Linked DNA regions of Lepisosteus oculatus. The protein of the gene in region 1 interacts with the protein of each later gene in a pairwise test. Links are inferred from orthologs where the notes say so. Each region holds a gene or a part of one and is shown on either strand. Other genes may lie near its edges.

Evidence for each region.
Region 2: the proteins of trim54 (region 1) and SH2 domain-containing protein 1B2 interact in binary tests that used the Homo sapiens proteins (3 or more experiments, as listed by UniProt). The two-hybrid records come from large-scale screens. The link is inferred for Lepisosteus oculatus from reciprocal best matches to the Homo sapiens genes TRIM54 and SH2D1B.
Region 3: the proteins of trim54 (region 1) and klhl38a interact in binary tests that used the Homo sapiens proteins (3 or more experiments, as listed by UniProt). The two-hybrid records come from large-scale screens. The link is inferred for Lepisosteus oculatus from reciprocal best matches to the Homo sapiens genes TRIM54 and KLHL38.
Region 4: the proteins of trim54 (region 1) and leng1 interact in binary tests that used the Homo sapiens proteins (3 or more experiments, as listed by UniProt). The two-hybrid records come from large-scale screens. The link is inferred for Lepisosteus oculatus from reciprocal best matches to the Homo sapiens genes TRIM54 and LENG1.

The regions. Positions count from the first base shown.
Region 1 is NC_090697.1:57,978,706-57,986,818, forward strand, and holds the start of trim54 (tripartite motif-containing protein 54), read right to left. Parts: upstream 3,039-8,113; 5' UTR 2,798-3,038; coding exon 2,630-2,797; intron 1-2,629. Other genes in the region: dnajc5ga (dnaJ (Hsp40) homolog, subfamily C, member 5 gamma a), read right to left, coding at 7,299-7,402. UniProt on the Homo sapiens protein: May bind and stabilize microtubules during myotubes formation.
Region 2 is NC_090700.1:5,125,817-5,133,060, reverse strand, and holds the start of SH2 domain-containing protein 1B2, read left to right. Parts: upstream 1-4,208; 5' UTR 4,209-4,901; coding exon 4,902-5,098; intron 5,099-7,244. Other genes in the region: plcxd2 (PI-PLC X domain-containing protein 2), read right to left, coding at 2,713-2,824. UniProt on the Homo sapiens protein: Cytoplasmic adapter regulating receptors of the signaling lymphocytic activation molecule (SLAM) family such as CD84, SLAMF1, LY9 and CD244. In SLAM signaling seems to cooperate with SH2D1A/SAP.
Region 3 is NC_090705.1:7,783,916-7,791,455, forward strand, and holds the start of klhl38a (kelch-like protein 38), read left to right. Parts: upstream 1-4,504; 5' UTR 4,505-4,737; intron 4,738-6,957; 5' UTR 6,958-6,958; coding exon 6,959-7,540. Other genes in the region: protein FAM91A1, read right to left, coding at 369-520, 1,569-1,653, 2,667-2,738.
Region 4 is NC_090718.1:656,254-664,604, forward strand, and holds the start of leng1 (leukocyte receptor cluster member 1), read left to right. Parts: upstream 1-5,315; 5' UTR 5,316-5,403; intron 5,404-5,427; exon of another isoform or gene 5,428-6,445; intron 6,446-6,750; 5' UTR 6,751-6,783; coding exon 6,784-7,008; intron 7,009-7,335; coding exon 7,336-7,503; intron 7,504-7,586; coding exon 7,587-7,864; intron 7,865-8,123; coding exon 8,124-8,328; 3' UTR 8,329-8,351. Other genes in the region: tmc4 (transmembrane channel-like protein 7), read left to right, coding at 1,891-2,074, 2,509-2,639, 3,395-3,550, 4,246-4,324, 4,631-4,726.

The DNA.
Region 1 (8,113 bases):
TGAGAGTGTAGACATATGGTTACAGAGTGAGAGTGCAACTGTCAGGTTTTATCTTTAACGTTTTTGAAAACTTTGGTGCAGCATCTTAATCCAGAAATATCAACATGAAGGGTATGTTTAAGGCACGACATTTCACTGGGCTGAGTAGACTTCAGTACTGATGTCTTTTTCATTAAAAAAAATGAAAATATGATATATAAGTATATAACATGTTTGTGTAAGGTGTCTGTGACATGCTAATTATGAACAGATCTCACATTGTCACTTACTATTATAAATTAGGGTGACTAATGTTCTAAATCAAGCATTATGCCATGTCTTATCAATGTAATAATGTAAATCAAATGACATGTTAAATATAAAACAAAATGCCTCTATGGTCATCTGAGCATGGTCATATGGGTTCTTCTTTCCTGGCACAATTTTATATTTTATAGGTAAAATAAGTTGAAGACAAACCTAAAAGAAAGATAATGCCTATAAAGCTAACACATCAACACAAATTGTTTTGTGTTTTTTCAAATTTGTAACAGACTAGTCGATGAGTCAAGGTCTTGTACAATCCAAAGATTCCATCACTTGACCCCTGAAACACAGACCTATCCTTGAGACATAGCACATTGGGAAGTAATGCTGGTTTGTGTATAACCCTCCACAGGACAACCTGCTATCCTGTAATAGCTAAATTACAAAAATTATTGCACTGAACCTTTGATTAGAATATACCCACTTAGTATTGAAATACCTCTGGTCTCTTCCGAGCTCAAAAATAACTAGGTTTTCAATTTTCAAACAGGAGGAGTTTCGGTCTGTTTGAATGTGAAAGTCACTCACAGTGTCAAGTTTCTTCATCTCAGGGGGTGACAGTAAGCATTATGGAAGACCCTACATCTGATGTACGAAGCTGGTCTTGTTGGAAAACCTGGACCAGCTGTTCATCTTTTAACTTGCTATTTGAGTTACCTTGCTTAGACATCTTTCACAAAGGTCACTGCTAAACTCCCACTCCCAGGAAAGAAGTTATGTATATGTGGGTGTAGATTGTCAGCATCGATTTTCTGTGCCTAGCCCACTACAGCTACTTAATTCATTCCAGTTTACAGTTCTGCCATAGTGATACTGGGTTATTGTAGGCCAACTAATCCCTCCAACTGCCCTGTAAGTCTTCACCCTGCATAATTCGGCAGACAGACTGGAGCCAATCAACAGGTGGCATATGCAAACTATTATTTAACCTTAGTTATTAGCCTCTATTTGCTAGATGGTAAAGATGTTCAATGGCGAGGTAAATATCCATATTGGTATAACTATCACACAACCCTATTATCACAAATCTTCACAGAAAATAATTAGAAAAAAATCTATGAAATACAGTAAATCTATATGAAATTGCACAGGAATTAGAAGAATTAGTAAACAAAAGTGAGAAGTATAATGTTATTCTGATCTGCTTTAACTCAAAATTTTAAAATACATATATTTGATAACAAAATTATTACATCTAATACTGTTGTCACGCCTATTAAAAATAGAGGTAAGCTGACTCTATAAAATAGAATAATATAATAATTTGCCAGTTTTGCAGCTGTGACAACACCCCCTGTGTAAACTGTTGCTCGGCATTAAATGTGCTGTTGTACCTAACACAGATTCACATTAAGTATGTTGAGCCCTACTACTGCCAGTGCGGCACCATTCAATAAACTCTTGTGAAGACAAAGACAAATTTCCTTATACTGTAGGTAAGATATATGTTCTAGGCATGTTAAAGCAATTTATGAAAAGGTGCATTCTCAAATGATGCTATGTAAATAATGTACATATTGATTTATAATAGCAAATTGATAGGTGAAAGGAAATGAACACTCTGAAATACCCACAAAAGCACTACACAGCCCTTAGAATAAAATAGTTTAGTGATCTGAAAGGAAGGCGGAAACATGATGTGAGGCCTGACAGTAATTTGTGTTCAAGAACATCTTGAGTGTTCCTTTCTGTTCTAGACTTTGAAAGTAGTCTTACCAAAAACTATATCATGAGGGAAACCAAGAACCCAGCAGGTATCTAAACTTTGTGAGACAACATACACAAATAAAAGGAAAGACTCGACCATGAACTGCTACCATGAGGCATGCAAATGGAAATGAAGTATTTATCATTCTGGAGTGCTGAAGGAAACTGAAAAAAGACCATCTTAGTTCAACCTTTAATCTCCAATAGGACAAAAAGGTTGCAAAAAAATCAGATAAGCTAGTTCAAACAGTGTATTGTGCTCTAACCCGAATTTCCTTTTCTGTATTTTGTTTGTTGAACTTCAGCCTCCTCGGCTCTTAAGTTATCATACGGGAGACTGTGTTGACAGTATGTTTACATTCTTCACAGACAGTTTGTCCTCCCGTCATCCACTGAGCCAAAAATACAAAACCCAGCTCTCTCAACTCCTTCTGTGATAGAAAATACAGATGATTTGTGCGATACTGTCAAATAAAAGTTCAACTGAAGCCCAAGAGACCTCAAAGAGGTCAAGGGAAGCTTGTCTTTACCATCATTTTGGCACCCACTGTCTTTAATACTATTACATTATGTTGAAAATCCTAAGTCACTTACACAAAAAAAAAGAAACCCTTACCTGGAAGACATCATTTGCACACTTCCTACACAGGTTGTGCTGGCAGGGCAGTATCACCACAGGTTTGGTGAACATTTCCAAGCAGATGGGGCAAATCAATTGCTTCTCCAAGCTGTCCATTGTGTTCGAGTCCCCCAGCAATGGTTTGTAGCCCAGCGCAAAGTTCATCCCCTCAAGAGTGCACGGCCAACTCTCTGAAAATCGTTAAATGTAACTATCGACCACTTCCCTCCTATTTCTTTCTTGCCCTCAGTCTTCTGCTCTGTTCCTCAACGATGCCTTCAACAGAATGGTTCTGTTATTTTAGCAACACTTTGTTCTGGCTAGAGTTACTTTTTCTCTAAACCTCACACTACACAGGGACTGGGATGTCCCCTCTGGCCAATGGCACTCAGATGTGGGGGAGAACAGCATTCCTTGTTCCATTTTTAACTTCTGAAATGTGATAAGGGGAATGACTGACAGACCATTTGTCAGGCCTGGATCAGATGTTTCTCAGTCACGGAGCCATGAGGGACTGCTGGAAATGCCAGCACCAACGACATGGAGTATTTAAACCGTAAACACTGGGAGGAAGACAAGAGGACATGATCAGAGATGCCAAATGAAACCTTGGCCTTTAACAATTCAATCACCTTGTTCTCTGCAACAAATCTCTGCAGTATTGTATTTCAGTACGTAATTAAAAACTATATTTCACAGCTTCTTCCCAGCAGTCAAAAACATTTCTACTTTAAAGCTGACCTTAGAAGCTTTGGCTGTGGTTATAATCTTATCATGGTTTTCAGCTCAGCCCTGAGAATTGAACAAAATATAAACAAGTCAGTGCAAGATGACAGCCTTTATGCTGTTGAGTGATTTAACAAGTTTACAAAAGGTGGATTATAACAGAAAATATTATCCCTCCAACCCCCTTTTAATTAAAAAAAACTAGTAAAACATTGCATTGCTTATTGGAAATTAAAACATTTACAAGTGACAATTCCAAAAAATATCTCCAAGACGTCACAGAAATGTCTTTATCCATTTTTCATTTCAGATTACGTACGGTCACATGTCCAAGACTTGTTATATTTATCTTCAAATTTTGACCTTGCAAATCATTTTAAAATGGTAATTAATACAATCGTTATGACTCCAAAATTAATGACTCATCATTTGCCAGATCTTATGGAACACAGCCAATCCGATTTGGAACAACTCCGTCTTCACACCCAGCAGATCCTAACGTCATTTGAGTCTTTCATCAGAATTGCAATTTTCAAAGCTCTCACTTTGAGGTGTACAACTGATGACTAACAGTCATTATTAATAGAGATGTTGTCTCTTTCTGTGTGTGGAGAGGGACTATTACTAAAACTACACTCCAAGAGTTTCAACTCCGAAAGGAAGATTAAGAAAAATTCAATCAAAAGAGAGAAAATCTTATTACCGTACTACTACTTAGCCTCCTGAAAGCAGAACTCTGAAGACACCCACTAAGTAACGAAAGAAAAAATGAGCCACACCAAACTTGATATAAACCCCACCTCCCCTCCCTTTATTTGGTGGTATAAATATACATGTTTGCAAGTCAGGTCTGTATAAGGACATTTGGAACAATAAGAAAAAGAAAAATAAGGGAACAATAATCAGCGAGACCAAAAAAAACAAGTATTTTACACAACATTTGTGAAGAAACCTAAAACAAACAGACTTCTCTGCCAGCATAACCAACATTACCATAGATACTCCTTATTTCTTAAGCCTCAAACAACAATTCCAATTTTTTGGCTACTGTCAGCTCTCCAAAACTGCCAATAAACATAATACATTCATTAAAATTAAACTTTATATATAAACTAAAAAGTAAACATTAAAATGGAAAGAATTCTTAAAATATCTGCCTTGACATCTTGTGGAGATGAATCTGTCATTTTCTAACTTAATTATTGGTAGTTAAGATTGCTAGTTGCCAGTACAAAACCGTGATTTCCACAAAAATATTGATTGATTGCTGACTGTTAATTGTATGATTTATTTGCAAACAGATTGCCATAACCTCCGTTACATAGATTTAAACAGAAACATTGTTAAATTTCAAAATTGAATAAAGCTAACTAGTGCTTGAACCTCGGTCCCAACTGTAAATACTGTACTTAAAGCAAAACCTTCTAAGCCACCAGTGAAATTATCTATTTTACTTTTTTAAACAGTTGTACACGACCATATTAAAAATTTGTTAACTAGAATGAACCTTTTCCCGAGAAAGAGGCCCAAGACTAACATCTAGTGCAGCTGGTATTTTAATATTTATTTTTGACAGCAGTCCCTGCCTTTAAACATAGTTTAAGATGGTGCATTTTTAAAACGGATTTCAGGAGAAGAAATCTGTGAATTATGAGATAAGTGGATTTTGCACTTTGTGGTTTTACAAGTTATTTAATTGATGCACTCATTCTGTTAACACTGATACTTCTGTATTTCACTAAAGTGCTGCATCATCAGTCACAAATCAATAACAAAATCTAATGACACAAAACCAATTGGCATTTTACTATAAATGAAAAAAGTATAAATGCTGTTATTTACAGGTTTCAAGGTGGGTAGTCAATTCAAAATTAAATTACGAAATCAGGGCACTTTATTATTGCCATTTTCAACTGTGCTCTGTGGCACAATATAAAGTGGCCTTATAGACTAGATACATGTATACTAAATTGCTTATTTGGGATAAGTTAGATGATGGAAACACATTTAAAACAAAAAAAATCAAAATGACCAACATTTAAAATCTAGGTTTCCTAATCCATGATCATCACTAAATAAAACCATGAAATAGTTTTGGGGACAGATGATGGGCAAACCACAGAATTAGAGAAACCACATTGCACCACACAACATACAGCTGAAAAATACAAAAAGACAGCCAACAACAGTATTTGGCAAACATTCAGTTTGTTAAAAATGCTGCAATGACACCAAAACCCAGAAATTTACTGAATGTGCTCAGCTCCCCAAAGTACAAAAAAAGTAATGGAAAACTATACTTATTAAATATCCAAACTATGAATAAGCTGGAGGACTTAGAAGGATTTGCACACAGTCTTGTGTTTAGAGTTCAAGCAATAAAAATGTCTAGCACTGAAAAATAGTTATCTACCTCGCTCATCTCATACTCACAATAGTTTAAGGACAGAGACAAAAACATTTAGACCATTTATGTGAAGAAAATGGCCTTCTTGTTACAACAGTAGACCAGTGTTAAATTATCAGCAAGTAGCACAGAAAGCAAAAAAAACATACATTTGGCATAGCAGTCTTTTATGCTGCATATATTGTCCGAGTGAAGCTTCCTGACTACACAGCATTACTTTAAAGAAAAGTACAAAAGGCTTGAAACTCTTTTGATTGATCCAGAATCCAGAAACAAAGTTCCTTCAGTAGCAGCACTCCAAGAGGTTGTGGACATAAAGTGGTCAGCACACATAACCCCGTCCTGCAGATGACTATGAGCTTGGCGTGACTCATATCTAACATACCAAAATCTTCCTTCTTGCTAGTCAAAGGCTAATGGAGCCTGAGGCCACTCTGTCGCCTCTGTACAGCACCAATACCAGAGCCCAGAAAGCCATCCTCTCAGTCACTCCAAAAACTACACTTTCCACAGCTACTACACAAAGGCTGACTATCCACCCAATACAACTAATTAGAAACAATGTAAATACACATTCCAGCACATCGCTGGTAATCCTTTCCATTAATTATGATGCCTTTTTGGTTTCCAAAAAAAAGGCCCTGTAGATTTTCATTTTGGTAGAAAAGAACCCAGAACCATTTCTTTAGGACTCTGAAATCTCACAAAAAAAATCTATTTTAATTTTATCCAATTTCCATTAAAATCAAGTACTTTAATCCTACACGGAGGGCCTGACAGGTACGAGATCTCTGTACCAGAAGCAGGAGGCCGTTTTATAATGCTCTCTTCACTCAGGAACTGGCACAGATCTCGGTGTCTTAAACCAAGGTGGTTATTTGATCAAAAACTACAATTATGTTTTGATTTTGGTCAAGCATTTATATTTTAGCATAGCACCTACATATACCTTTCGGTTTTGGGCTACAAAATGTAATGAACGGTCAAAGTAGAATTAAAGTGCTACTTTTTTCATTTAAAAAAAAGGTTGACTGGGTGATTTCTGCTTTTTATTAGGAAAAAAAAAGCAACACAACCTTGAGCTTGTAAACACTTAAACCCTCTTAAGTGAGACTCCAGAGAACTACAGACACGGCAAAGATTCTTGTTACATGGCACAAGGTCAAAACGTACAACAGAGGACATGCATCAGGTACATGCACTTAAGACACGAGCACATCCACCTATCCATGCAACAGTATCAGGATGGCACTTGGACAAAGTTTTGACCTGATAAACTGAAACTCTTTCACATCTTGACTGGGCTGTTTTGGTACAGTAGTAATTCGCTTTCCAATACCAGAGCAACATTACACTTTGATGGTGGCAATAATTGTTCCCCAACACATTTTTTTTTCTTTGTCAAGAGTGCCACATTATGCTTCATATCACATGCCATTAACTTTCCTAACCATAAACGTGTGGGAAATCACATAGGTATTGGCATCTGCGAACGTCAAGGTAGGAAGTCTTTCGAAGGGCTGGTGCTGCTAGTTAGTTCTCGGTCACGTAGCTGAGCTTTTGGCCTGTGGAAAGCTGGGTGGACTCTGAAGTGCAGATTGTGGAATGTGGCTGAATCACAATTGGAGGTCTTGTATCTGAAAAGAAAGACAAGTTTAGATGGCATATTTCACCATCTGAGCAAAGACGGACAGCTCTCAACTACACTCCTATCTTTCGCAACAATCATGTCTGTCTTCCACAGTTCTGTCCAAAATTGCTTTTTATCCTTGATATTGATATGAGGTTTTCAGCTTACAGAATACAGTTGAAGTAAGGATTTAACAAATCACTATGACTAGAAATCACTCCAAACCTTCCTTCTAAATCGTGTTGATTTAACACAGGCTGAAAAGGGATGACTCATCTTGACCAAGTTCAACCCAAATAATTCACTTTGAACCAGTGGAACAGCAGAGGAAACAAGGATGCAAATCAAATCAGTTGCATCAAAAACATGTACTTCACTGTCATTTTCTACTGAAAAAGCTTGCTTCAGAACACATAAGCACTGAGGAGCAAACCTACCTCCCCTGAAACAGCTCACCCATGTGTTCACTTGAGTCCTTTCCAGGGAAGCACGGAATAAAATGAGAAGAGTATATTTCATGACACTATTTTGAAAACCCCATTTCAAAACTAAAGTCCAGTGCTCCTACAAACCAAGGTACGGTTAAAGATGAACACTGCCTTTATCTTTCCTCAAGCAAAAGAGGTTTACAATGGAAACCTTTTAAAAGAAGGTGGTTGATACAGTATAGCAATGTTACAACATGGTATTTTCTCTCTCATATTCAGCAAAGACAGTT
Region 2 (7,244 bases), on another chromosome or scaffold:
GTGATGAACTGGAGTCCCATCCAGGACGTACCCTGCCTTGAGCCCATTGCTTGCTGGGATAGGCCCCAGCTCCCCCATGACCCTGAATTGGAAGAAGCACTTCGAAATTGAATGGAGTAAATGGAAGGTGGGATTGAAGTATAAGAACCTCCAAATAAGCAGAACTTTCTTTTCTATCACGAGGGTGACTCCTAGAGTCTTAAGGGAGATCTTTCCTGATTCTGTATTACAGTAGGTTGGCCTTAGAGAGGTAGGCAGCAGCAGGCTGGAGGCTCACAGGTCCGTATTTCAGATGGGATGCTGCTGTGATCCCCCTGATCCAGCTTCTTCACTCACATTACCCCACTGAGTGTCAATGATGGGTCCTCAATTCTCATGGCAAAGGAGACATTGTGTACAAAATAAAGGAATAATAGAGGAACAGGTGGGACACAACAGCGATGTCCTGTTAAGCTCAGGAGTGTGGTGTCCTCTTTAACACGGGAACCTTCCCTGACACTGTACTGTCTGTTTTACCTTGCACTTCTCACTATCACCTTTAAATGTGAAACGTACTGCTTCACCAACTCTTAATGACTGTGCCCTGCATTCTGTGTGTCTTGCACTGGTCTGCTAGGCCTTTATTAAACTTTTATAATGCATGACTCAAGTACCAGCTGAAGCACCCATGCATAGCAAATAACCCCTAAGCAGAGGAGTACAGCAGAAGAGCACATCCATCATTCAGGAGTTCAAAATGCAATTACAACCACATAAATAAGTGAAGCTCACACGGGGGAGATGGGGACACTGTGTAGCAATGTTAATGAGAATTGCTCATTTGCCATTCAATAAAACTGCAGAACTGCACTGGGCTCAAACAATTATTTATTGAAATATGTTAAGATACAATGCATAATGCATTTCTTATGTTGGGTGTCCCTGAAAGAAGGGGGTGATTTAAAAAACAATTACCTGTTTTAGTCCTTTGTAAATTAAACAAAATTTGAAGGTAGTGCACCCTGCAAAACACAAGGTGGAGGCAGATTCATGACCTTCCATGTTACAGGTAACAAAACAGCTGTGCAGAGGGGGAAGGGGAGAGACAGGCTGAAAGATTGGGGTCAGCACCAAGACAGATCTCCCCCCTGCAAGATTAACATCTTAAATCCTCTTTAAACAAGCCACAGGAAGAAGACAGCTGTGCTCCTACTGCTCACACCCGTGGAGAAACGACAGGACGCGATGGGACTTTCTAAGAAAAGTGTCTGTGCGGCAGTGTACATTGTACAATCGGGCCAAAAATAGGACAGAACAATCCGGTGATGAAAGCCATTCAAATTCAGGTCAATAGAGATCTTAGACTGTGGATAAAAAGAAGCAAGCCTTTGGGACGACCACAATCAGGCACACTCACGCATGAGCATCTAGGTTAATTGCACGGAGAACAGAAATGGCCTTAAGTGCAGGCAGTACAGTACGTCAGCCCTGCCCATCTCCACTGCAGTGCACTCAAATCACACGCCAGGTCCTGAAGACACATATTGCAATCCATGGCCACCTCACAGGACCTTAGAAAAGATGTGCAAAGCTGCACCGTTCTGCCAGAAACAGCCTAATCTTCCCGCAGGGGACGAAAGTACGCTACAGAAAGTGTAACATTTTCACTGGCTCGTAATGAATAAAAGTAAAAGAGACTGCAGGAGAGGCTGTGTGAATCTCTATGAGACACGCGAGTCCTTGTCAGCTTCTGGACGGAGTCTGTTTGCAGGTGACCGGATACGATACTGTAAAACTCTTGCACATGCCTGTGAGCAGCCCCAGATCATGGGACAGCTTTTATCACGACAGCAGAGCACAAGCAGGACAGCACAGCGAAAACACCTGCGCCCTGATCGAAACCCGTGGTCGTGTTTTACTTTCAGTCCTTGTGCCGGCTGTCTTATATATGTAACAATATGAGAAGGGCTACAGACGAGATTATGCTATTTGCCGCATTCAGACCATTTGGTAGTCGGTAATCAATTGATCTGCGGGTCTGATCCTGCAGTTTCTTAAAAGAAACCAATCTAACAACAGGGCAGGGTAAGTTGTTGAATACTCTCACGACCCTGCGGTCACGTCCAAACCCATCGCTCCATCGTGGTGACTCCGAACGCCTTGTTGTTCGGCAGGTGCCAAGATATGGCACCATTAAGATGTGGCGCAGCTGGCAAAGCAATTTGCTGTTTGGTACATCTTCGCCTCGCCTGCTGTGTCTGTGGAGTCGGTGTGGCACTGCGCTTCGGCGGCGGACGAGCGCTTTGTTCAGAAGAACAGCACGAATGCAACTAATTATCATTAAAAACAGTCAGTCCGGAGATCAATCACAGCCTGGAAGTGTGTTCCTGTATCGCTACTGCGCGCCGTGACGCTTAAGGAATAAAGCAGTGAAGGGAATTCGAAAGGATATGATATGAGAGCATGTAATGGCCTTGGTCATTATATTAAAAGCATATCTCTTTTTTAACTCCCTGAAGCGCACTTCTGTCAAGACGCTCACAAAACGTGCGCTCTGCAGACACGGAGTGACTGTGAGTCAGTCTGACCTCCTGATCGCTCGACCTTCTGCGGTTCCGGGTGTTATCGTTTTCTTGAACGCTCTCTCTAAAGATCGCAGGGTAAAACTCCGCCAGCCCAGCCCCACGCCGGGGAAGTTCGGCTAAGGCAGATACGTCCGCCCGCTGTACGTACCTGGTACCGCTAAGTGCTTCAGAGGCATCGAGGACAAAGCCGGACAGAGGGAGCCCATCCAGTCTGCGTTAGAGCAGACACTGCCTTTATCCGCGATCTTCATTTTTCTCATCCAAATGGCCAAACAGTCTGGGAGAGATGACTGACACCTGTAGTGGTAACTACGTCGATATCCAGGCTAGATCAGGGAGACTGACACCCCGGGAACTCATTTCCCCTGGTGCGAGGGGCACCTCACCTGGGCTCCACTCAAAGGCAGCCTTCCACGGGACTCGGATCACCGGCAGCCGGGCAAACGGGCTTTGCTCACGTTAATCTCCTTAGTCCGAAATTACACTACTTATCCCCTAGATCAAATTTAGAAAACCTATGGGTCTAAGACAACTCAAGATCATCCCTCCCTTCTCTCTCCCTCTCACACAGACGTCATTGGGAAAAAAAAAAACCTCTCCTCTGCAGGACCGTTTTGCTTTACGCGATGACACTACACACCGCCGAGGCCGGTTAGAGAGCTCCTCCGTGTCAAACAAGGTTAGGATGTCTAAGAGTAGAACCGTAATGCACGGCGAGAGCGGTACTTACTCTTCTGAAGAGATGACTTTTCTGTTTTCTTTCTTAAATACCGCCGCTGTGTGGGCACCTGTAGAGCAAAAAAAAAAACAGATCAATATTGGAGCACGTGAAACGTATCCACCGCGGTAGCTCGAGCTACGGGCTAAGATCGTAAAAAGGTACATCATGGACACGACCGTCATCGGAAGAAGACACGGAGTTCCCCAGTGGCCCTGCCTGATGTTCACCAGGAGATGGCGCAGGAGGACCGCAGATCCGAGCGACCCACGCTCACGAGGGACGCGTGCGGTGCTCGGAAGAGCGCTGAAAGTACGACACAGCCTTGACTTTTAACTGTCTCTTGTTGGGGGTAAAACAGCGGCTAAGATATTCGTGTCCCGCTTCATCGCCCTTTGATTCATTACTCAGAGGCTGTGTTTTTTTTCTTTTCTTTCTGTGCCCTTTTGCAACACAGCCTTTTAAAACCCATCTCAAGGCGCCGGTTCTCTTACTGTGGAAAAACTCCCCAGCGGGCTGTTTGTAAACACGCCCTTGAATCATAGACGTCTAGATGGAAAACCTCATGGTGAGGTCTTTATAGCTTAATGGCGTTTAAATGTTCCTGTAATTGCCTTAATGCAAGACACTGTTCGTTTTTTTGTGTTCAGGTGAACTTTCTTGAAGTCATTTTCAAAAGGGACACCTGGAGCCGCGGAGCCCCGGGGCATCGTCTGAGCCGCTCTGGGCTCTGGAAACTTTTTTTCCCCACATTAAAAAAAAATTCAGTTCTGCCACTTCGCAGCCGCTGGATGACATTTAGAAAAAAAAAACGCAGCAGTTGGTGACATCCGTATGTAAAGATACAGAGTCAAGCCTCGCAGAATCGAAGCTACATGTTGTTGTTGTTTTAAAGCAGTGTACATTATACAAAAGAAGCAACGACTCTTGTAGGTCACGATTAGGAAAATAACAACAACCTTTGACTGCTTTGACAATAACATCTTGCCAGACCACTGTTGTGCCTTTCCCTGTTTCCCCATGAATAGCGGACTGCAGCAGCGGGCCAGACTAGGCTGGTGTACGGGCTGGTTTCAGACAGCAGGGGGCGCAGTGATGGCTTCCAGGCAGCTTGAGTGAATTGCTTTGTCGCCTTATTATTAACTTTTAAATGTAAATCATACAACCCCAGAATCAAACCCAGGAAACTGAAGCAACGAAGCAGGAGACAGAAGTTTTGCATCTAATACTCAGACAATTGCATCTGTATGTGAAATACTTTTAATACTAAGGACATTTAACTCTCAACAAGCCAAACCCCCTACTTAAAATGCTGCTCCCTAAATTTTAGTACTTAATTACCCTTTATTTTCATTGAAGCTTACATGACCAGATGTAGAGCAAGATCTGAACTATCATTGTCGGAACTTCCGTTTGAACCAGAAAATAACGAGTGCTTATGTTTCTGTTGTCTAGAGAGAGAGAGAAAAAAAAAAAAAAACAACATCACGGTTTCACAAATGAAAGCTGTCCAGCCTCTGCGACTTGTGGTAAAGTAACTCAAACCTATCCCTTATTGCTGAGCGCTGAAACGGGCGACTTCCTGTGTGAAAACCCCTGACCAGAAGCGCACTAGCACAATGATGATGCCACAGTTCGACTTGCAGCGCTGCAGCGCGGCTGGCATGCAGGTGTACGGGGCGATGGACTGCCCGGTGTATCACGGGAGCATCAGCAGGCAGACCTGCGAGGAACTGCTCTCCAAGAAAGGCAAGGACGGAGCCTTCCTGATCCGCGACAGCGAAACGATTTCGGGGGCTCTGTGCCTCTGTGTCTTGTAAGTACACACCGCGACGGGGGAGAAACCTGTCAGAGTCGGACTGTTCCTACGTTCTGATTTACAATTAGCCACTTAAGAAGTGCTGGTAGGCTTGAATGATTTGTTCCACATTTTCAGAATAAAAAAAATCACGGATATACTCGCATTGAAGCAGAGAGATGTAGAGAGATTTTATGGAACAAGTGTTCGGTACCTGCGCTTGATGTACAGAACACGCAGACATCCTACAAACTGAATGTTTGTACTGAAGAGCTTTTTTAAAAAGAAAAAAATCAGTGCTATGGAATAAAATCTTTAAATAAATTCTTTTGGAAGGCTCCTTTGTTATCTGAGAAGTTTAAAAGTCAGATACAAAGGCACAGATACAAATGGTATTGTAACGCCACCTGCTCTGGTACGCCGGCTCTTACACAGTACCTGTCGGCCGTAAGCGTTACACTATTATTTTTTCTTAATTATTGTATTCTTTTTTTCTCAAACACTATGTATGAACACAAAATGTACCCAACAAAGTCCCTATTAACAGGGCCAGAGCAGATTCACTCTTTAATAAGATTGGATTATTCTGTCATTCCTCAGGTTCAGCACTAAACACTTCTAAAGCACTCTTCTTGAGAAAATCCGTCTTTTATTTTTTGTGTCTTTCATGACGTTTTAGGTAATACTAAATACTAATACTAATGGACAAGAACTTCCAATATATTTTTATATCACCTTGATGAATCCAAAATGCCCAAAAAGATGGCTAACTGTAGATGTTTCCGAATGAAGATGCACCGAGAAGCACAGAGAATTTCAAAATTGCTGATCTCTTTCCTATAAATTCTGACTGCAAGTTTGTGAACACAACATCACACAGGAAGGTATCATTATTCAGGTCCTTCTTGGGGGAAAAAAAGTTTTTTAAGAGGTGTAATGTATGAACATTGTAGCCTGCCAGGAAGGCTGGGTCCTGATCTGAAACACACAGAATCCCTAGATCAGGACTGACAGACACCAACATTCCTAGATGTTCAGAGCTTCTGTGTCCACCTGTTTCCTCCATCCGTGGAATGCGTGTTTTGTAGTTTGCACTGTTCTATGTCTTTCCCTTTTTCCCTTTTTGTGAAAGCATTTTTCTGGGAGCAAATTTTGATTTGTAATCTTCAAGTGCTCTGGTTTGGCACAGCGTGAATCCAGGCTGCTGGGATTTTGGCCTCAGTAGCTCTGGGGAAGGTAGATTGAGCACAGCCTGTGCCCCTGCAGCTCACTCAGGGAGAGAGCTCCTTCTATACTGAAAACAAGCATGTTGCACGCTGTGAGAAACTGCTCTGTACTCACACCTTGGCTTTGTTTGTCACGGGTCATTTTCACAGCGTTGCTCTTCTAGAAATCAGGTGATTTAAAGAAAGACGTTACACAGCTTCAAAGCTGTGTTCATTTCACGAATGGTGATCAATTCCTTCTGGGGTTTGAAATTCTGCTTGGTGTTGCTAAGCTCTCTAGTTACAGTGATAATGCTTTAATTAAAGATCCTCCCCAGCAAAGACCCGTCCAGGCCCAGGGAAATCTTGGGATTGTGATCTGCAGTGTGTGCAGGTGTTATGTGGCCGTCATGCCATCCAGGTTTGATTAGTTTACTTCTGAATCTCGAAACTCACTTTTTGTGCTTAAATTGCGATGACTGTGGCGTGTGGCACTGTTTAGAGCAGTGGTTCCCAGTCCTGATCCTGGTGACACCTGCTGGTTTTCATTCCAACCCACCTTCATGGGATCATTGAAGCCTCACTGGATCTAAGAAATTGCTTCAATTGAATATCTGCACTTTGTTTGGAGTCACACATATGGGATTTTATTTCACTTACAAAATACAAAGGTTAAAGTTCCAACATGTCTAAGAGCTGGGAGCAAACAGTTCACATGAATCTGATGATAAATCTGATTCATCTGATTATTAGCAAGTCAATGAAGGGCTTGATTGTGGAGCTGAAGGCTCGACTGGAACAAAACCAGCAGATGTGTGTGGGGCACTGGGACCAGGACTGGGAACCAGCCCTGTCGTGGGGAATGAATGGTGACAGGATCTGGAACATGTTTTATTAGAAAACATGGCACATTTGTTGATCGTGAAGCCAGTCTGAGGAGGATAGATTGGGGAGCTATC
Region 3 (7,540 bases), on another chromosome or scaffold:
ATCAGCTACTGCCGCCGCAACATGAGACTCTGCTGTACATTTCCAATCATTCCTCCTTCTTAGACCTTAATAGCAAGGTGCAGAGAGCCTGGTGCCTTCCTGAATGTGGTCTTTTGTGAGCAGAGAAAAAGTAATTATACTCTTGCAGCAGAGGTATGCTACTGCCAGCAATACATGCTGTGGAGTGGCAGGATTGCTCCTTATTAAAAGCAGCAGGGATGAGCTTCAGCCTCCTACACTGCATCAGCACATATAAACTGCACTGACTGCACGGAGGAGATACAGCGGGGATACACTTCGAAGAGGTTATGTATTCCAAACCCCTACTGTTTAAAATACTGCCAAGCCCCACCCACTTTCAGACCTACCTCCATTATTCCAATATAGTAGGAGAAGGGAGTAACCCTCAGGCCCTTGACCATGATGTCAGACAGATGGTAAGGGTACAACATGAGATGCTCACGGCTGTACTTCAAGAGCTCTTCGTAGTACTTGCGCTCATCTTTCTTCACATGCCTCACTGCATAAAAGAGGGGGAGGGCATTTTTTTAAGGTGTATGCAACATGCAACAGCAGCATCAGTGGCTACCCAAAGGATTTGTATAAACCCGTTAAATACTAACATTAAACATTAAACATTAAATACATACATTAAACACCTTTCTTTGTCAGGATCACCAAAGCATTTCATCCGATTTAATCATTCGCCAGACAACTGCGTCCCGAAGCGAGATTGTGACAAACTGCTCTTCCTAAATGAAATGAGCGCATCTTGTATAGTGTCCTTATGATCTCCAGTGCAAAGACATCCAGTCTAATCACCCAGACAATATAGAAAAATATACATTCTCAACACAGAAAGCAATGACAACAATAGAGGGCCTCTAAACCTGTTCTTGGGAAACCTCTTGTCTCATCGTTCTGCTGTTAAGGTTCATTACTGGTGCCTTTGCTTTGTTTCTCTAATGTTTGCTCAAGCTGCTGAAAGGGTGCTTAAGCTGAGCTCCTGGCTTATGACCCATTTGGCCCTTTCTTAAGGAAAGCAAGTGCCTAGAGGATCCAAAATAAAAAGCCACTTTGGTACATTAAATGATTTAAAAATTGCACTCCAGTATGAAAATATTTGAAACACATTTGAATCGCCTGAAGCAATGAGGGGACACTAGTAGATGCATGACGATATTTGAAATTATACAGATAAATACATAACCTAGTTGGAAAACTCCTGGAGAATCTGTAGATTCCTCTCAGATCACTGCACCAATAGTCACACAGACAAAAATATACAGACACCCACTGCAGAGCAGATGGATACATTTCAGGTCTTCCAAGGTGCCAAGTGCTGATCCAGCACCTTCCGTTGGTTGATGTGTTCAAAATCAATTATTTTATTTAATAAATAAATAATGCAATGATTTTAATTTAATAATTAAAATAAAATCATTTAAAATAATTTAATGTTATCGTTAAATCAGATTAAAAGCAAACAGTAAAAATGTAGTGTAACTCAAAATTACATTTGTTTGTTAAACTAAGCTTTAAATTCAAAACTAATAGAGTTAACTTACCTAAGTTATTTCGGAACCGCAACTGGTTCCGGATACTGTAAAGAAGGACATGTTTCTCATACTCTCGCTGTGAGTTTCCGAGACTCTGTGGAGAACAACGAGGAACAAGTAATTTAAAGAACGAGACAACAACGTCATGTTTGATCAGGGGCTATCTCATTAGCAGAATGTCTGCGGGCTAGGTACTGTAGGGTGTTCAAGGTCTGGTGAAGATCTATGAACAAATAGTTTATCGCAAACAAAGTCGCAACTTATTTTAAAATGCTTCAATTAAGATTGAAACTTATATAATTTACTCTGTCGAAAAGCAAGGTGTTCAGGCTTAAGGTTAAATAACGTTTGCGATGACCTCTATCTCATTTCTTTTTGACGCTTTAAGTCATATGATCTTGTTTTCAATGGCTTATTTTTTTGTATCGCCATAATAAAGCGGAGGTAACAAATAAAAAAGCACATTTCTTCGCCCAAAATAAATGGATGCCTGTTCTATTCTAATACGATGTAAATGCGCTGTATAATTAAATTCCTCTTTAAAGATTTAAACGTATTTTAAATGGCACTCAACTCCCAGAAATCTCAGGAGACGCAAAGATTAAGGCAAAGGTTTTCTGTCTGAAGATAACCTAAGCATTTCTTTACTTCATCCTTTAAACTGAACGGTGTTATCCTTTTTTGTGGTATGGATTATAAATCTAGTTTTGGAATTGGAAACGGAAAACACGGAGCAAATAGACCGCATGTTCTTTCGAAACTGATCCTTCTGAATCGCCGCTAAACCCTCTATTACATTACATTAGGCAACGATGCGCGTTTCAGACAAACAGGAAGGATCTGGGATGAAGACTCCATGCATCGCGCTGATTCAAAACATAAGCAAACCAAAGAGCGACAAGGGATGACATCCGACGGGTCACCCTGAACGAATCTGTTAATGTTGTTGTTTTTTTTTCCACATGAAAAGCAAAATCACTCAGTCACGAAGCAGACAGTTCTTTCAACGAGTGCGGGCACCTCGCGTTTAGTTTATCTTCGTACTGTCTGGATCAACCCCCACACACGCTTCCCCTTCCTATGGATGGAGTGTCAAAGATTCTGTACCTGTTTGACATTAGTGGGCAGTTTGTTCCACGGGTAGTTCTGCCTGATGTGAAATTCCACGTCTGTATTCATGGTCTCAGTAAAACACAAGGCTTGTAAATCGGCGAGGGCGTTTGGGTAACACTAATATTACTCAACCCCCATCGGCTTTAAAAATTAAAAGCAAATACTGTCTTAAAGTTCCATATTTACCCCGTCCCGATTTTAGGCTGTTCTTTCTTTAATCGAACTTCCTTATTATATTTACAAGGAAACGGTCGTCACCGCTGCTTTCGTCATTTCCGCCCTCTTGGCTCGTGTCGGGAATATCTATGGTAGCAAAACAAAAAAGGTGAATCTGTGGAGCGGTGTTTGTCTCCAGCAACTTTCAGAAGAAAAACTGTTTTCTTCACAGAGCTTAGCGTTTGCGTTTCACATGTGTGTTATTACGGCTTTATATGATTATGTCCTGAAAGTAAGGTTTACGTTGAATAAAAGTGACTAAAATTCTGCTTGATTTTATTTAAGAATACCTCAGTATTTTGGAACTATACATGCATTTGAAATAAAATACGTTTTTTGAGTTCCTCCCCCCGATTCGTAATTATTAACGTTTATATTATGTACCGAAATATGAAAATAAAAAGCAAATCTTCATTGATTAGACTTTAACCAAAAAAAAAAACGGTAAACGCCAGGGGGCGTATGTATCCACAATAAATACAAATAGAGTATTTCGATTGAAGCTAACGGGAATAAATATCACACATCAACTGTACAGCTATACAATTCGCAAAGTCTTTTACTGGTGGCATTTACATTTTTCTGATAATTGATTTATATATTGAAGTTAAAATAGTCCTAAATGTCCCGATAATTCATTTTCATCGATTGACAGGGTATTTTTATGTTTTTTCACGTCTGCTTTTCTGGGAAATGCTCTCTCTCTCTATGTTCTGCAAGACTATTTTGTTGATATGCTCAAGCTGTGGCAAACACTGCAGTGAAGAACACTTATGAAAATTAGACGGAAATCTCTATCTAAAATGCTCTGAAGCCTATCAGATATATCCTTCTGCATCACTGGCACAGTATAAATCATTCTTATTGAATGTGGTGAAATCTCTTCACAAGCCGTTTTTACTAGGAGTCCAGAGAAACACAGGTTATAGTCAAGCAAAGACGCATAAGAACTGGGTGAAATAACAAAACATACAGTATCAGTAAAACTGCAGGACTATAGCCCCTGGGGATCTGGAGTCTTAATATCTTTGTCACATCATTATTCCCATATTCCAGTTTAGTCCAATAATTAATGTATTTGGCTTTTGGTTTTGTCCCAAAACAACTCACATTGGTGCCCATTTAAACAGGTGGGTATTTTCCTAGCATGAAACAACTAACTGAAGGGTACAACAGCAGCTTCCCATCTGGGACTTGAACCCACAACCCTCCTGAACACTACCCTGCAATACCAGCTGAACGAGCAGAGATCCCCCCCTTCCTCCCCCGGCCTCCTGTGAAGAGGTAACCCAGGGCAGTCAAGCCTGGCACAGCTGTCCAGTCGTCTCACGCTGAACTTTAGGCTCTGTTTACAGACAGTCTGCACACCCCCCCCAGTTGCAAAAGCCGGTGGGGAGTGCCGCGTAGTTTCCAAGCCCCAGGCCAGCTCCTCGGATAACTGGAGTGTCTGTTTATACCCCTGTAAACACGGGCAAGCATGACCGAAAGCTTCTGTCGAGGAGCAACGAGTTCCAGTCGCAAAAACAAGAGGGGGTGGGGTCATGTGACCTCGCTGGCACGCGCTCGCAGCGGTATTCTTAGCGCCGGAATGTATACAGTGGCCTCGTGGTAAGAGCCTGGCCCCTAATCACAAACATCGCGGCACCTTCTTCATAAACACGGCCGCTCTGCATGGCCTGCTCCAGACGTTAACATAAAAATGTGAGGGTGGTTGGGTGTTTTGTTTTTTGGGGTTGTTGTTGTTGTTGTTGTTGTGGTGGTGGTGGTTTCCTTTTGTCCGACGAACTTTCCACAAGTGGAATCAGATCTGGACGTGTTGAAGAGAAGGAGAGGCCAGGAGACGATCCAGGTAAAAGCTGACGAAGCTCTTCCGAATCGGAGGTGTAGAGCAAGCATAGCTGAACGAAACTCGGAGCTGCTTTGTTTTAGACCTTTAGTTGGTGACAGACGCAATTTTTTTCTGCTAAAAGCTTTGTAATATGTCCCTCAAAGTGTCTTCATATCTAGTCAAGTGCCGAAAAACGTTCAGCAGTAGGATAGGCTTCTAGGTAAGAACATGGAATTGATCAGTAATTTCCACTCACTCCTTAATTTATTTTTTTCCATTGGCAAATGCAGGTATATTTACTTTGTTGAGAAATCTAATTATATAATGAATATTAATAGCTATGAACTCTGTTGCGCTGTGTTAATTGGTCTGGACAGCCTTCAGGATGGTTCCAGATTCCTTCTGTGGTTTGTGTTTAAATAAGAATTGAAAAAAATGCCTAAAGTTTGCATTACCCAATTATTCTACTGCTTCCTTTTAAGGCACAAAAAAATCATACTGTAGTAAAGATATTCATGTAAGGAAACTCTTTGAGTGTATGTCTATAAACTTCCTTTCGCTCATCGTCCCCAAACAGCCAACATTTTAGGGCAGAACAACGCTCAGTTTTCCCCACAGTTTTTGTATAAAAGACAAAGCATGAACACATGAACAAGGAAGAATTACATCTGCTACTGTAAGCTGCAGTATCACTAAACTAAAATGAACATCTGGTAGCAACGACACTCGAGCTCCCCTGCTATTTCCATGCAATATAAAGCACAGGATATTTCAAGTCTCCCATGTGTACAGTACTGTATATTAAAAACTTCACTGGCATGTGTGTTTATGAGGTAAATGTCATAAAAACAACAGACAATTAAAAACTCAATATTTGACTTTTTTAGGCTGTGTAAAGGAAAGAAATCTTAAAGATTAATTCACAAAAATTTACAAGCTACAGGAACTGAGAAGGTACAGGTTAGAACTGCAACCAGTAGGTGGAGGGAGTTGCTTATTTTACACACATTAATTCCATGCTGGGTTTGTATTTATTTGTTGTTCTTGTTATTCATTTCCGGGGCTTGTGTGACTGCACAAACAATGTGATGATTTTCATTTCATTTCTGCAACTAAATAACTTGAAGAATATGAAGAACATAAGAATGTAAGAAGCATTATCCCCCATTTATCTAATAACCCTTTTAACATAGAACTTTTCTGTTAACGATCCATGTGTGCTAGCTCTAGTGCGGAAGTTATTAAATTGATCATCACAATAGCAAACACCATGCAATCCCAGAGAAGTGGCTTCAGCAGACCTACTGAGCATGCTCAGGGAAGCCATCTTGGATCTCTCCACCAGACAGTTACATTATTCCGCAATTCTTGGAATGATTATTACCAGATGGGAGGAGAATAAAACTCTCACAATTGATAACGATATCCCTGACGTTTAACAATGGAGTGGAACAACCATTGCCTGTTATTAACGCCTTCTTTTATTTACGTCATTAAGTGATCCCTGAAAAGTCAAATGCTAATCTTTAATAAAAATAGTGAATATACAAAAATAACAATACAGATGAGACTGTTTTAGTCCCGTCTTGTATTACATTACTGTCCCAGAGGGATAAAGCACAAGCAAACTGCTGGTGATAGCAGTTCTGTGACATGCTCACTTTTAACACTGGACCTTTCAAGGACAAACTTATAAAGGCTTGAGTAACTGATGAGACATGAAGTAACAGGATTTAGCCAGCTTACGTGAAGTGATTGAGCCAAATGTCAGACAGATGTGCTCAGATGATTTAGGAGAGACGGACTAGACAGCAGAGTGTTGATATTGTTCACTCAAGGACAGCATGAAAGTTGAATAATTGGGAAAGACTCACAGACCGCTAAGCCAGTGTGAGGCCTGGAAACAGATGACCTTGGAAGGAATAGCAAGGTCATGATGATGAATCTGACATTTAATATGAATGCCAAAATAAAATTTAAAATTTAACACTGCACTGCTTGTGCCTTCACTTAATGGATGTTGTTATACAAAAGCACCGTGATTACACTCACTTGGCCTCAACTCATAAAAGAATGTATTATATTTCAACTCCTTCTGTGTAAGCCTTAGGTCGGTTTTCTTTTTGAGTAAACAGAATATTTGAGGCAAATGAAACCCAACTGCCTGAAATTCTGAAACATAAGCAAAGGGACCCTTATCTTTAAGTGACACAAGCAATTATCTTTTTTTTTCCTCCTCAGAATGGAAAACGTGATACCAGAGGCATTTCATTTTAAGGATAAAGAGCACCCTTCTAATCTTCTCTCACAGCTGGACGGTTTAAGACAAGAGAGGATCCTCACTGACGTACTTCTGTGTACAGGTGACCGAGAAATTCCCTGCCACAGAATTGTTCTGGTTTCTGGCAGCCCTTATTTTAGGGCCATGTTTTGCGGCGATTTCAAAGAGAGCCAACAGGCCAAGATAAGCATGAGGGGCATTGCTTCAGATGTTCTGAGCAGTATCATCGACTACGTCTACACAGGTTGCATTGTCATCACTATGGAGCTGGTCCTGCCACTGATGCAGGCAGCGTCCATGCTGCAGTACCCCCGGCTTTTCGACGCCTGCTCCGCATTCCTGCAAGAGCAGCTGAGCCCGGACAACTGCCTCAGCATGATCCGGCTGTCGGAGATCCTGCACTGCGAGAGCCTGAGAGCGAAGGCGAGGGAGGTGGCGGTGTGCAGCTTCTCGGACGTGACCGCCTCGGAGGACTTCCGAGAGCTCTCCCTGTCCGAGCTGGAGGGCTACCTGGGAGACGACCGGCTGTGCGCGGAAGAGGAG
Region 4 (8,351 bases), on another chromosome or scaffold:
GGGTATTAATTCATCTCTCTGTGTGAGGAGTGTATCTGGGGTCTGAATTAATCTCTGCGTGTGAGAAGTGACTCTGAGGTCTGTATTAATCTCTGTGTGAGGAGTGTCTCTGGGGTCTGTATGAGGGTCTGTATTAATCTCTGTGTAAGGAGTGTCTCTGGGGTCTGTATTAGAGTCTGTATTAATATCTGTGTGTGAGGAGTGTCTCTGGGGTCTGTATTAATCTGTGTGTGAGGAATGACTCTGAGGTCTGTATTAGGGTCTGTATTTATCCTTGTGTGTGAGGAGTGTTTCTGGGGTCTGTATTAATCTCTCTGTGTAAGGAGTGTCTCTGGGGTCTGTTTTAATCTCTGTGTGTGAGAAGTGTCTCTGGGGTTTGTATTAATCTCTGTGTGTGAGGAGTGTCTCTGGGGTCTGTATGAGGGTCTGTATTAATCTCGGTGTGTGAGGAGTGTCTCTGGGGTCTGTATAAGGGTCTGTATTAATCTCTGTGTGTGAGGAGTGTCTCTGGGGTCTGTATTAATCTCTGTGTGTGAGGAGTGTCTCTGGGGTATTAATTCATCTCTGTGTGTGAGGAGTGTCTCTGGGGCTTTATTACTCTCTGTGTGTGAGGAGTGTCTCTGGGGTCTGTATTAATCTCTGTGTGTGAGGAGTGTCTCTAGGGTATTAATTCATCTCTCTGTGTGAGGAGTGTCTCTGGGGTCTGTATTAATCTCTGTGTGTGAGAAGTGACTCTGAGGTCTGTATTAGGGTCTGTATTAAAATCTCTGTGTGATGAGTGTCTCTGGGGTCTGTATGAGGGTCTGTATTAATATCTGTGTGTGAGGAGTGTCTCTGGGGTCTGTATTAATCTCTGTGTGTGAGGAGTGTCTCTGGGGTCTGTATTAATCTCTGTGTGAGGAATGTCTCTGGGGTCTGTATGAGGGTCTGTATTAATATCTGTGTGTGAGGTGTGTCTCTGGGCTCTGTATTAATCTGTGTGTGAGGAGTGACTCTGAGATCTGTATTAGGGTCTGTATTTATCCCTGTGTGTGAGGAGTGTCTCTGGGGTCTGTATCAATCTCTCTGTTTAAGGAGTGCTTCTGGGGTCTGTATTAATCTCTTTGTGTGAGAAGTGTCTCTGGGGTTTGTATTAATCTCTGTGTGTGAGGAGTTTCTCTGGGGTCTGTATAAGGGTCTGAATTAATCTCTGTGTGTGAGGAGTGTCTCTGGGGTCTGTATTAGGGTCTGTATTAATCTATGTGTGTAAGGAGTGTCTCTGGGGTATTAATTCATCTCTGTGTGTGAGGAGTGTCTCTGGGGCTTTATTAATCTCTGTGTGTGAGGAGTGTCTCTGGGGTCTGTATTAATCTCGGTGTGTGAGGAGTGTCTCTGGGGTATTAATTCATCACTGTGTGAGGAGTGTATCTGGGGTCTGTATTAATTTCTGTGTGTGAGAAGTGACTCTGAGGTCTGTATTAGGGTCTGTATTAAAATCTCTGTGTGAGAAGTGACTCTGAGGTCTGTATGAGGGTCTGTATTAAAATCTCTGTGTGAGAAGTGACTCTGAGGTCTGTATGAGGGTCTGTATTAATCTCTGTGTGTGAGGAGTGTCTCTGGGGTCTGTATTAATCTCTGTGTGTGATGAGTGTCTCTGGGGTCTGTATTAATCTCTGTGTGTGAGGAGTGTCTCTGGGGTCTGTATTAGGGTCTGTATTAATCTCTGTGTGTGAGGAGTGTCTCTGGGGTCTGTATTAGGGTCTGTATTAATCTCTGTGTGTGAGGAGTGTCTCTTGGGTCTGTATTAATCTCTGTGTGTGAGGAGTGTCTCTGGGGTCTGTATTAGTGTCTGTATTAATCACTGTGTGTGAAGAGTGTCTCTATGGTGTCGCAATCTCTCTGCCTCTTCAGGATGATTGTGGATCACTGCTCTTGCAAGCTTGCTCAGTGGCTGGGACGTCAGGAGTTTGTGGTGCCCCAGAATGTCCTCAGCCTGGTGTACGGGCAGACAGTGGTGTGGGCGGGTGCTCTCTTCTGCCCCCTGCTGCCACTCATCAACACTGTCAAATTCGTCATTTTCTTCTACTGCAAGAAGGTAGAGCTGTTCATCATCTCTTCTTCACTGGGACTGAGCTGTGTAACAGCTCTTATTGTAACAGACTGTTCTACTGTACTGGGACTGTAGCTCCTATTGTAACAGACTGTTCTACTCCACTGGGACTGTAGCTCCTATTGTAACAGACTGTTCTACTGTACTTGAACTGTAGCTCCTACTGTAACAGACTGTTCTACTGGGTCTGTACTGAGACACGGAGATACGTGCTGTACCAGGTCTGTACTGAGACACAGAGACAGTACTGTACTATAGTGTTCAGTCAGTCAGTGTCTCTGTGCTGTAGTGTCCAGTCAGTCAGTCAGTGTCTCTGTGCTGTAGTGTCCAGTCAGTGTCACTGTGCTGTAGTGTCCAGTCGGTCAGTCAGGGTCACTGTGCTGTAGTGTCCAGTCAGTCAGTCTCTGTCTCTCTGTCAGGTCACTCTGTTCCAGAACTGTCGTCCAGCCTCTCGGACTTTCCGCTCCTCCAGCTCCAACCTCTTCTTCCTGCTGGTGCTGCTGCTGGGACTGGTGCTGGCCTGCGTGCCCCTGGTGTTTGGCCTGGCCGCGTGAGTGACCCCCGTCCAAGGGCTGAAACTACAACACCCAGGTCCCTTCAGGGCCAAACACCCAGCCAGCAAAACACAGCACACTCTGCAGAGCACTATGGGGGCTGTAGTCCCCGGGCTCCAGTCTCCAGCCTCTATCTGGCTCCATCCCCCATAACCCTCTGGGCACCTGACCAGTGGCTGAGCCTCCCACTGCAGGGCCTCATGGGAACTGTAGTTCCTGGACTGGACTGCGCCTCGTGTTCCAGGGTCATCCCACACTATGAATAACTTAACTTCCCATAGTGCTTCGTGACAGTCTGGGTACATCGTGCTGAGAGACCCAGGAGGACAGCAGAGCTTTGTAACGCACCACCAGCAAAACAGAAACATGAGTAATAATAATGAAACAGTCAGTCAGTGTCTCTGTGCTGTGGTGCCCAGTCAGTCAGTCAGGGTCACTGTGCTGTAGTGTCCAGTCAGTCAGGGTCACTGTGCTGTAGTGTCCAGTCAGTCAGTCAGGGTCACTGTGCTGTAGTGTCCAGTCAGTCAGTCAGTGTCTCTGTGCTGTAGTGTCCAGTCAGTCAGTCAGGGTCACTGTGCTGTAGTGTCCAGTCAGTCAGTGTCACTGTGCTGTAGTGTCCAGTCAGTCAGTCAGTGTCTCTGTGCTGTAGTGTCCAGTCAGTCAGGGTCTCTGTGCTGTAGTGTCCAGTCAGTCAGTCAGTGTCTCTGTGCTGTAGTGTCCAGTCGGTCAGTTGTCTCTTCCCCTCTGGCAGGATCCACCCCTCCTGGGCCTGTGGTCCTTTCCGCTCTCTCCCTCAGATGTGGGCGGTGGTCTCTGTGTCGAACGCCTCTCTTCCTCCGTCTGCACAAGATTTCCTGCGGTTCCTGGGCTCTCAGGCGTTCGCTGTGCCTCTCTTCGTCGTTCTCTGGTGAGACGCCTGTTCACGTGTCCATCTGAGACTGTCTGTCCTGTCTCTCTCTCTCTCAGTGTGCTGTGGATCAGTGCTGTGTAACCTGTCTCTATCTGTCTCTCTCTCTCTGTGTGCTATGTGACCTGTCTCTCTCTCTCTCAGTGTGCTGTGTGACCTGTCTCTCTCTCAGTGTGCTGTGAATCAGTGCTGTGTGACCTGTCTCCCTCTCTCAGTGTGCTGTGTGACCTGTCTCTCTCTCAGTGTGCTGTGAATCAGTGCTGTGTGACCTGTCTCCCTCTCTCAGTGTGCTGTGTGACCTGTCTCTCTCTCTCAGTGTGCTGTGTGACCTGTCTCTCTCTCTCAGTGTGCTGTGTGACCTGTCTCTCTCTCTCAGTGTTGTGCTGTGTGACCTGTCTCTCTCTCTCAGTGTGCTGTGTGACCTGTCTCTCTCTTTCAGTGTGCTGTGTGACCTGTCTCTCTCTCTCTCTCTCAGTGTGGCGCTGTGTGACCTGTCTCTCTCTCTCAGTGTGGCGCTGTGTGACCTGTCTCACTCTCTCTCAGTGTGGCGCTGTGTGACCTGTCTCTCTCTCTCTCTCAGTGTGCTGTGTGACCTGTGTCTCTCTCTCTCTCTCTCTATCTCTCTCTCTCAGTGTGGCGCTGGGTGACCTGTCTCTCTCTCAGTGTGCTGTTTGACCTGTCTCTCTCTCTCTCAGTGTGGCGCTGTGCTATGTGGCGGCTCTGGCCTCAGTCTACGGACAGAGTGTCTCTCTGCTCCGCGCTCAGATGCAGCTGGTAAGTGTGAACCAGTCCGGAGGAGGGGCGTGTCAGGGGCTGCTGCTGACCTCTGACCTCCGACCCAGCTTGCCGACGCTGCTGTATCCCCGACTCCAGGAGTGAGCAAGCAGAGCAGCAGCGCTCGGTACACAAACACCCCAGTACCCCCAAACCCCCATGCGCATGCCCTGAGCTGCGCTCTGACCTCTGACCCTGTGGGTGTCGATGCTGCGCAGCCCAGCGAGACCCCCGCCGCACCCCAGTGTTACCCCACTGCTGGGGGTGTTTGGGGGTCCCGGCTGCTGAGGGGTCCTGTCTCACCAGGAGGGGAAGGACAAGCAGTTCCTGGTCAGACAGATCGCCGAGCTGGGCGGCCCCGGAGCAGTGCACGCTGGGCCGTCTGAAGGCGCCGCAGAGTGACCAGTGACCGGAGTGACCAGTGACCGGAGTGACCAGTGAGCAGAGTGACCAGCCCAGGCTGGATCTCCGGGCTTTGACAGCGTGTTTAACGACGGTGGATGGCGTGTGTTTCTAAAAGATTCTTCAGGAGATTAAAACGGTTTAGAGCTGTAACCTGGGTTTTGTTTGGCGTGTGGCTATAATTAAATGAATAATAATAATTATTATTATAATTATTATTATTTTTATGGTGAGCTCCCCAGGGATAACATGACAGAGCGGTAAGGATTCATAATAATAATAAAAAATCTCATCTCGCCGTTCGCGGTTTGGGCTCTGGATTCAGCGCAAATCGGGTTTGGGGCTCAATGTGTGCAACGTTACCGACTTTTACTGGGTTTTATTTTTCCAGCTGGAGGCGGTCGAAACCGAGAGAGGCGGAGCCCCCGGGTCGGCGCGGCTCCGAGCAGCGCAGCCTTTCACTGGCGCAGAGCTGAGCAGCTAAAACAAGACATGTTCCAGTCGAGGCCAAGTCGAGCGCTGCGTTTGTATCATTTACTAGATGTTGGAAATGCAAGCTTTTTTTGTATCTGTTTAGAAAAATACAAAATACGTATACACTGTATGCATTAAAAAAACGTACAGAATACAGAAGTTCTGGCGGAGCGTTTTGAGCGCAGTTTGGCTTTCAAGTGCAGGTAGGAAAGAGTTTCTGATCGGGAAAATAAAAGCGGAAATCCGTAAATATGCTTTTAAAACATCACTCCTGAATAAAATAATTAACATCTCCGGGGCGTTTAAAATCCCCGCGATCGGTTTGATTTCGATTTTGAATCGCAGTGCCTTACTCCCGAAATATTCTCCGATCTGCACGAATCGCCGGTTTCCTGTAAAACCGTGGTTTTCCGATGCACAGCGGCGCCTAATCCATCACCTGAGCTGAGCGAAAACCACACAGCCGCTTCTACGCGGATCTGTAGCTGCAAGCGCACAAAGCGATATGTAGCTGCGCTGTTGAGTGTGTTTTGCCTTGTTTTATTGAGAGAAACTTTGAAAGTGAGATATACGCACCTTGCAGCGGTGTCGGCGGCGGCTCCAATTGCAAAGCGGAACCCGACGGGGGGCGGGGTCAAGGGGGGGCGGGGTGTTGCCGCCGGACAGGCCTGGCCAATCGGGAGGCGAGCGCGGTTGTCGTAGACCAATCGGGAAAGGCGGAAGGTGGGGCTAAGGGGAGAGGCGCGGAACTGAGCGCTGCGTGACGGAGAAGACAACCAATCACAGGACAGAACCGGGGAGGGGAGGCGGTGCTCTTGACATAATGTCATCCAATCGAAGCCCCGCGGCACAAAAAACACGGAAATGCCGCCTAGAGGAAACCCACGTTCTTTAAACGCTTTGCGTCTTTCCCGACTAGAAGACCCTTGGCACTGCCGAGGTTTGTTCGGTAGGAGTGTATCCCATGTTTTAAATATGTGATTAGATCACTTTAAGACGTTGGTTAGGGTAAAAAGAAAGATTTCGTGTGCACCAAGGAAATAGGCGGACCCGCGCTACAGACCGACGGCGTCTCCACTGGCGACGAGTGATTGACGTCAACCTGAACCAATCGGAAGGAAGAGAAGCGAAGGCGGGACGAAGAGGTGTGGACCAATTGCAGCGCCTGATACGACAGGAAGTGCCTGTGGTTTCGGCGGACACTGCGTCACCGCTCCTGTGTTTACAACATGGAGGATTCCCTCGGTGAGCGGCTGATATGAATTTGTATCAAGTGTTTTGAGCTCATTCCGTGAGACTTACGAGCGGCCGGGACTCGCGGACTCGTGAGGGAGCAGGGAAGTGTGTGAGAAAACCTTTTATTGCGCTCAGATTGCGTTGGGGCTGTGAGAGCTGTGGTCTGACGTTGCGGCGATCCAGCCGTTCGCTGGGGCTCCGTGAAAGGTTCCTAGCCACTCTCCTGCTATTAAATCACCGGTTTGTTTCTGTTTCGAGTTCAGTGTTGTCTGCAGAAATGTTTTTGTATTGCGATTTCCCCATGCTGTTGGCAGGTGGGTAAACCCTCGTGTTCGTGTTCTCCGTGAATGAGCTGGAAGGGGCTCGTGTGCACCCGAGTGCTGCGGCGGACGCTGCCGCAGCTGGTTCTGCTTGTGAAGGAGATTAAAAGTCGCGGAATCATGAATATTCTGCCCAAGAAGAGCTGGCACGTGCGCAACAAGGACAACGTGGCCCGCGTGCGGCGGGACGAGGCGCGCGCCGCCGAGGAGGAGCAGGAGCTGCGCCGCAGGGTCGAGCGCGCGGAGCAGGAGGTAACCATGACAACAGCCGCCCCTCGCTGTAGGGGCCGGCCCGTCCCAGCATGCAGCGGGAGCCAGGCGGGGTATCATCATGGGGCAGGCACACGCATGCGCACACTCTCTCGTACTGACACACACACTCACCCCAGCTCGCACTGGGGACAGTCTTCCTAGAAACCAGTTTAACCCGGGTGTCTTTGTCTTGGGGGTGAGACCCACACAGACAGTGGGGACACATACAACCCAGTGCAGCGTCTCGTGGTCCGAACTGTCCTGTCCCCCAGTATAGTCGGGGGGCCTGCTGGTGGCGCCCCCTGCTGACAGCTCTGTGTCTCTCAGGCCCGGACGGAGCTCCTGAGGAGGAAGTCTCGAGCTGCGCTGCCCCAGGGCGAGGAGGGGCACGAAGGACAGGCGCCGCTGGTGGGGCACCTCGACCTCTTCCCCCCGGAGGAGGGGGCGGAGAAGCGAGGGAACGAGGAGTACCTGCGGGAGAAGAGGGAGGAGAAGGTGTGTCCGGCGCCGCGGCTCCGTCGGCCCGGTCCGAGCGCCCCGCCTCTGTCCCGGCCGCCAACCTGTCCGTCTTCCCGCAGGAGCGCCAGGAGCGCGCCATTGGCCTGCTGGTGTCGCTGGGCCCCGCCCCCGGCAGCGAGGCCACGCCCTGGTACCTGGAGAGGCGGGTGGGGGCGGAGCCGGGGGAGGAGCTGGGGGCGGGCCGGGGGGAGGGGGAGCGAGAGAAGAAGGACCGGAGGCTGAAGGCGGCGCTGGACCCCCTGAGAGACGTGGACCGAGCCCTGCAGACGAAGAGCAGGCGGGTGGAGAGGAAGAGGAGCAGGAAGAGGGAGCGAGAGCAGGAGGAGGGCGGGCAGAGGTAAGGGCTTATGCGTCAGGTTAGAATCGGCAGCTCCCACCGGAGTGAGAGTCAGGTGGACACAGTGAGGTGTACAACCTCTCCTTGCCATCACACAGCAGACCCGATTCCCAGTCCAGCCCAGCCCAGCGCCACGTTCTGAGACTCCGAACGAGGCAACAGGACTATTTTTTCTGTAACGCCAATGGATGTGTTTTGTTGCAGTAATGTGATAACTGGTCTGAGAAATGTCCAGTGTGCTGACCGCTGTGTCCCTCAGCTCTCTGGACAGGCTGCGGGAGGAGCGCGTGCGGAGGGAGGCGGAGGAGAGGCGCCGGGCTCGGGCCCTGCTGGCGAGCCGGGCCGAGGGGGAGCGGTCAGCGGCGCAGGAGCCGGACGAGAGGGACAGACCCTACAACAGCCAGTACTGTCCCCAGCTGGCTCGGCGGCCGCGGCGCAGGGACGGGGATCTGGGCCCCCTGTGAGGAGGGAGTCCAGTAACGCCCCC